Linked DNA regions of Oryctolagus cuniculus. Each later gene encodes a partner of the first gene's protein in a complex. Links are inferred from orthologs where the notes say so. Each region holds a gene or a part of one and is shown on either strand. Other genes may lie near its edges.

Region 1 (3,500 bases):
AGCATGGCGGGGCCTCCGTGGAGTGGGTAGTGCCCCAGGTGATTCACCAGGTGCGCCATCACCATCCGGGCAGTCAGGGGGATCAGCTCCACGCTCCTCCTCTTCTTCTCTGCCAGCACAAGGAACAGAGCATAGAGAGACACTGGAGAAGCAGCATGAAAACTCAGACCACCACCACCAAACTCCAGTTTGTACTTGGAACATTGTTTCTTCAGCCTGTGTTTTTTTTTCCCCCATATATTTTCTTTTTGACACTAGTTCTATTTGAATTTAAAAGCAATTTAAATAAAGTGTTTTAGAAAAACTCAACATATGTGAGGATTTCTTCCTGAAAGGGACTTTTTTTTTTTTTAATAGGTTTATTTATTCGAAAGACAGAGCTACAGAGAGAGAGACAGACAGATCTTCATCTGCTGGTTCACTTCCCAGAGTGAACATCTGGGGCTGGGGCAGGCTAAAGCCAGAACACTAGAACTCCATCTGGGTCTCCCATGTAGGTGGCAGAGACCTAAGAACTTGGGCCACCTGCCACTGCTTTCCCAGGCACATTAGCAGGGAGCTGATCAGAAGTGGACCAACCGGGGCTGGAATCTATGCTCAACTAGGATGCCAGCGTCACAGGCTGCGGCCTAACCTGCTGTGTCACAATGCCGATCCTGCAAGGCACATTTAAAAATGTGTACAGTAGATAAGGAAAGAATGAAAGCCCAGATCCTTAAAGAGCTCTGGAGAAGACACAGGGGTAGGCCGGAGAAGTCACCTGGCTCTCTTCAGTGGGGCAGATGTGCAGCTGAGAAGAAAATGAATCAACCCTATGACAGCTTAAATACATTTGAAGCAATTTGCTTAATAATCGTTGGGACAATTCATGTTTGGTTGTTAGGGCATTTTAAATATTTAAGAGAATCTGACAGTATTAATGACTAATGGAAATACTTAGAAGGCTTTAACTAATTTGTAGCTGATGATTAAATACCCAAGAGCAAGTGATTTACAAAACTATGGAAATTATTTTGTACAAAATATAAGGAAATATTGTTTTTATTTTTATACAAAATACATGAAAAGACTCTGACAACAGTATGTATAAGTAGACCTTGCAAAATTAGGTATTCAGGAGAAGCAGATAAACTAAATCTTCATGTATGGGTTGAAATGACTACTTAAGCTTAAGAGTAGAAGTTAGAGAAATTTTAATCTGCCAAATTAATAGAAGTATTATACATTAACCTAAGAAGAGGTAAAAACAAAACCTTTAGTTTTAATAAAAGAAATCACTAGATAACTTAAATAAATTAAGTTTTATAATTTGAGCTTAAAGCTTTAGGAAATAATTGGTTTCTAAACTCCAAACATGAAAAGCAAAATGCTAATTAAAACATAATTGTAAATACGCTTTTTCATACTAATCATCCCTCTTAGACATTAAAAGTCCAATTGCTTTATTTATAACACATCAATGTTATGATGTATAAATCTTACAAAGAAACAACACACTTCAGTCTCAAGCTAATCCTGTGCAATTACTGAGAATGAGACAGTCCTGAGTTTTCTCGGATTTTTAAATTTTTTCCTGTCAATGAACAAGAAATCACCTGCATCCAATTCATTCAAAATGAAATTTCATATCAAGAAGCTCATTTTAAGAAGCAAAGAAGGTCATCTACCTCTGTCTCTGAAATTAAACTTTTCTTCCTCACCTTGAGTAGAAGCTGGTATCATTTCCACACAACTAAGAAATTTAATGTACAAATTTAATGCCAATGCTAAGAAACAGTAATGCCCCAAATAGCAAATGTGAAGCTAGCCAGGGGTTGGCTGAGTTCATATGTAAAACACCTCCTCTGGACGACAGGGCAGAGCAGGCTGTAAAACTCTAATGATAAAGGTCCAATTTGAAAAAGGCCCCAGGCAGAACATAACAATTAGAGAATCAACCTTCCCGTACTTTTACTCACACAGGTTGTCCTTTCAATCTGACATAAATACAGATGCATTTGAGGGACGTGTTTTAAGTCTATAATGGGAAACTAGTCTGGAGTCTTACTTAATCAGATCATAAACCACAACCGTGCCCAGTAAAAGCCCCAAATATCTCTGGTACTAAAAAGTCAGGAAAAGGCACATTTGTGAAATATAACTGTTCTTCCTGGACAGATGCTGGGTGAATCGACTGCCTGCAGATTCCCTGAAACATGAAGAGGAAGTCTGGACCCCATTCATGAAAAACGAGTTCGTGACATCCACAAACTGAAAGAATTGACTCCTAGGATCCTTGCTTGTCTTCATTTGGGGATGAGATACGAAGGTAGCATGTTTAAGCTTCTCACTGTCAGTTCTGAAAGCTCCCCCCATCTTCTCTGTAAGCAGTTAGGTATCTGAGATAAGCAACCTGCACACTAGGAGCAGAGTTAGCAGCCACCTTGGCTGGTTGACTGTGTCTCTTACTTGGGACTTTAGAAGGACACTTCAAAAAGTCCTTGGGAAATAGAATGAAAAGATAGTTTTTTTGGTGTTTTTAAGAAAATTGAATAAAAGATTCTCAAAAATTTCATAAAAATGCACATAATGAAAGAATTATGCGTGTATTTGAAATTTTCTCCACCAAAATAAACTTATCTTTTTTAAAAAAAGATTATTTATTTGAAAGGCAGAAATACAGAGAGAGAAAGAGAGAGACAGAGATCTTCCATCTGCTGGTTCACTCCCCAAATGGCAGCAATGGCCAAAGCTGGGCCAATACAAAGTCAGGAGTCAGGAGCTTCTTCCGGGTCTCCCACATGGGTACAGGGGCTCAAGGACTTGATCACATTCTGCTGCTTTCCCAGGCCATTAACAGGGAGCTGGACTGGAAGTGGAGTAGCAGGGACTCAAATCAGCGCTCACGTGGGATGCCGGTGTTGCAGGAGGAGGTTTAACTTTCTACACCACAGCAGCAGGCCCTAAACGTATCTTTTGATTCCATTTTCCATAATCTTTTTTAAGTATCCATCTGAAAGTAGTAATTATATCAAATAGTAACTAATGGTCTAAAAGAGGATCATAAAAATAGATTAAAGTATAATGCTGCTTATCAGAAACTACCTGGCTATAAATAGCTTTGTTATGAATGATAAACTATGACACTGAGTGAAAAAAAAATCCTTAAATATACACATTTTGTAAAAGGTCTTTATTTTTCCTTTTCATGCTTAACAAAATGTATCCACTTATCAAGAGTGTGCATGCCGGGGCCAGTATTATGGCACAGCGGGTTAAAGTCCCAGTGTGCAGGGCCAGCATCCCATATGTGCCCAAGTCCTGGCTGCTCTACTTCCCATCCAGCTCTCTGCTATGGCTTAGGAAAGCAGTAGAAAATGGCCCAAGTCCTTGGGCCCCTGCACCCATGTGGGAGACTTGGAAGAAGCTCCTGGTTCCTGGCTTCGGATCGGTGCCGCTCCGACCATTGTGGCCATCTGGGGAGTGAACCAGTGGATGGAAGACCTTTCTCTTCTGTCTGC
Region 2 (3,500 bases), on another chromosome or scaffold:
GCAGGTGCAGAGGCCCAGGACTTGGGCCATCTTCTGCTGCTTTCCCAGGCCATAGCAGAGAGCCGGATCAGAAGTAGAGCAGCCAGGACTTAAACCAGCACCTGTATGGGATGCCAGCACTGCAGGCAGTGGCTTTAACTGCTGTGCCACAGCGCCGACCCCCTCAATCTTTAAAAAAGTAGTTTAGTTCCATAAAATGAGTTTGCCAGCTTCTGAAATAGTGTGGGGGAGGGGAGGAGTTACATACATTGCAGTTACATACTATCCAAACCTTATTTTACTGTTTTGACAAAGCAATATACATAACAGGTGCTAATTTCAGGGACAGGTTTTATAATGCAAGAATGAGAAAATTTCATATCAAGCAATAGTAATAAACGTAGCCAAAAGAATTTAATTACAGCCTAAAGTGCAGCACATTACTTCCTTAGGGGTTTCCCAAGGACCAAAGGTAGGTACCAATGACCTGTTTTAAACCTTCATCTCTGTATGATGCAGTCGGCGCTGCACGGGGTGACGTCTAGTTCTCAGAGCTGGAGTTGCCTTTGTTTTTCCGCCCAGGCAGAGGGAAGCCCGACTTGCTCTGGGGCTGGGAGAGCTTGCTGGCCAGCAGCATGAAGGGCTCGATGAGCGTCCTGCGGTCAGTGGCGGTCACCTCCCACAGCCTCACCCTCTCACTCCTGGCCCACTGCTGCGCCACCTCAGCGTCCACTTGTCTCTGCTCCGAAAGGTCGGTCTTGTTTCCTAACACGACGATCGCTACCTGAAGGAAAATGGAAAAGATGGCACCGGTACTCCGCCACCCACAGTTCCTATGCAGAACGGAGGAATGAGGAAAGCTGTTCAGTTACTGCTTCGCAGAATGGATTCTCAGATGGCACTGGGAGTAAGAGGCAACGACCCTCCTCCCTCAACACATTTTTGTTAAAAATGCAGACACGTATGGGGTGCTCACCTCCACTGTGAATGAAAGGGGAAATTAACATCTAAGATGTGAGCAGTGGTTTCTGTGTGGCCATACTTGAGGTCTGAGAGATTCTGCAATACGGGGCTTCAAACGTCAATAAAAATACACCTGGCACTGAGAGTTCTGAACCCCTAGAAGGGAGTCTCCATGAACACAGGCTTTTGGTTTGTTTTACTTTGAGAGGTAGAGCTTCAGACAGGGGGAGACAGAGAGAGGCCTTCCATGTGCTGCTTCACTCCCTAACTGGCCGCAACGGCCAGAGCTGCACCAATCCAAAGCCAGGAGCCTAGAGTTTCTTCCAGGTCTCTCACGTGGGTGCAGGGGCCCAAGCACTTAGGCCATCTTTCACTGCTTTCCCAGGCCACAGCAGAGAGCTGGATTGGAAGAGGATCACCCAGGACTAGAACCGGCACCCATATGGGATGCCGGCACCCTAGGTGGAGGCTTAACCTGTGCCACAGCGCCGGCCCCCACAGGCATTTTGTGTGTTCACATTGTTCCCAGTCTAGAAAAGTGCCTGCTAAATGTGTATTGAATGTGCGGGCCGACAGTGCTAAATACCAGTCATCCAGTTAAACAGGAATGCTTCCCAGGCACAGGGTCAGGTGACCAGAGCACAGCAATCACAACATAGTCCAGGTGCCCAGGGCCACAGCAGAAGAGGTAAGCCCAGGAAGTGACCGTACGGAAGGGCACGGGATGGGGCAGCAAAAGACCACCGGACTCAGAGGACCCCTGAGGCGCAGCTGGGGTGGAGATGCCGGGTGCCGCCATGTTCCTCCCTCCAATTCAAGTCTTGCTGAGCTCCGCAGGGCAGCGTGAAAGAGCGGCCCCACGGTGCTGGTTGTCCCAGTAAATCTCGTCCTCCATCTCAAAGCAGGGGCTGTGCCCTCAAGCCTGTCACCACTCGGACTCACATCGCATGTACACCCCCTTGTCTGACTTCCACCTCCTCCTCCCCAACAACAGAAACTAACACTTTGCCCTCTAGAATTTGGCAGAATGCCCACTCCCACTGCACCCATCTGTCTTGCCCAGTTCAGCTCTACAAGCCCATTCTCCCCACCTTACACTTCTAGCACCAAATTGGGGGCCAGGGATGTTAAGGTGTCCTTGACCCTCAAAATGCTGCCTCCAACAATGTCCTTCCCTAAAAGCCCCAGTGGAAGCCTGGAGCTACTAGGCTACTGTAGCTGTAAGATGTTCCCCGCCCACTCCCCCACCCCCCAGCCCATTGCTGGCCCATCACAAATGGACACCCCTGCCATTGGTCACATTCCTAATAATCATACCAGACACGTGGGTGGCACTTCGAGTATCCGGGGGCTCAGTCCTTTGACTCCTCCAGTGGGCTTAACCATCCTTAGCTCAGCCAGTCACATCCCAGACCTCAGCTGAGCCCCCATGAGATCTCCCATCCAAGTACTAACCAGAACCAACCTGGCTTAGCTTCTGCGATCAGACGAGATCGGGCGTGTTCAGGGTGGTATGGCCATAGACCCATGAGATCTCAATCCCAGGCAGCCCTATGACCCCTCGTGCCTAACCCTCCAACTGCACCACAAGCACGCACGCCAGCCCCCATCACTCTCCTTCCTTTCTGCTCATGTCCCCAGTGCCTCTTCACCGACCTCTTTTGCCCCCACTATCCCATCGTATTCACCTGGCAAAAGCCATCCCCCGTTACGTTCTTAACCAGACTTGGCCCACACTACTCCGCTGGATGGGGCTGGAGAAAACACACAACCCTGTTGGCTGGTCCCAGTGGATGACCACTGGCCTCGAATGAGCTGGCACTCCCCCAGCAAACCTACGCATTGTCTCTGCCGACTCCGGAACTGGGCAGCGTCTCTCTCAGCCCCTTCTCCAAGCTCCGAAACCTCTGCTTCCTCTCCCACCTTCCCTCCCGTCCACTGACCGCCACACTATCTCAGTGAGGAAACTGAAAAGGACATCCAAGTGCTTCCACCACTCCATGTCACAACCTGCCCTCTCCCAGCCTGCTCCACTCTGCTCCCAAACCCAGCGTCTTACCTGGACAACGACACCACCCCATCATCAGCTTTCTCCTCCCCTCGGAATCCCTCCCACGAGCACCCTGACACTGTTGGCCCTCACAAATAAACATTTCCACGTCTCCTTCTCCAGGTCCTTTCTGTCCTCCTTTATAGCAAAGCTGTGTCTCCTGCATTCCATTCTCTTACGGCCACTCCATCAGACTTCACCTCACTACACTACTAAAATGGCTTTGGGTCCAGACCTCCAAATTCATATTCAATATGAATATGACCTTCATATTCAATATGAAACTACCCAATTCCTAGTCTTTAGCCTTTTTTTTTTTTTTTTTAAAGTTATTTATTAGAGAGGTAGAGTTGAAGACAGAGGGAGAGACAGAAGGATCTTTCATCTGCTGGTTCACTCTCCAAAGGGCCATGACGGCTGGAGCTGGGCCGATCCAAAGGCAGGAGCTAGGAGCTTCTTTTGGGTCTCCCACACAGGTGCAGGAGCCCATTCACTTGGGCCATCCTCC

Evidence for each region. The genes of interacting proteins can lie anywhere in the genome.
Region 2: the proteins of RALGAPA2 (region 1) and NKIRAS1 are in contact, whole or in part, in a crystal structure (PDB 9QU1), measured with the Homo sapiens proteins. The link is inferred for Oryctolagus cuniculus from reciprocal best matches to the Homo sapiens genes RALGAPA2 and NKIRAS1. Residues at the interface, in NP_065076.2 of Homo sapiens: Pro20, Lys21, Tyr51, Ser52, Gln53, Phe56, Tyr59, Glu60, Ile63, Arg99, Phe102, Arg103, Trp104, His105, Tyr106, Gln107, Ser108, Lys185, Ile186, Tyr187, Pro188, Glu189; in NP_001364280.1 of Homo sapiens: Lys6, Glu22, Leu24, Leu25, Tyr26, Glu34, Met39, Glu40, Asp41, Val42, Tyr43, Met44, Ala45, Ser46, Val47, Glu48, Lys54, Gln56, His58, Tyr60, His74, Tyr75, Ser77, Phe78, Lys108, Thr162.

The regions. Positions count from the first base shown.
Region 1 is NC_091442.1:45,073,441-45,076,940, forward strand, and holds part of RALGAPA2 (ral GTPase-activating protein subunit alpha-2), read right to left. Parts: intron 110-3,500; coding exon 1-109.
Region 2 is NC_091435.1:159,791,455-159,794,954, forward strand, and holds part of NKIRAS1 (NF-kappa-B inhibitor-interacting Ras-like protein 1), read right to left. Parts: intron 813-3,500; coding exon of another isoform or gene 764-812; coding exon 521-763; 3' UTR 1-520. UniProt on the Homo sapiens protein: Atypical Ras-like protein that acts as a potent regulator of NF-kappa-B activity by preventing the degradation of NF-kappa-B inhibitor beta (NFKBIB) by most signals, explaining why NFKBIB is more resistant to degradation.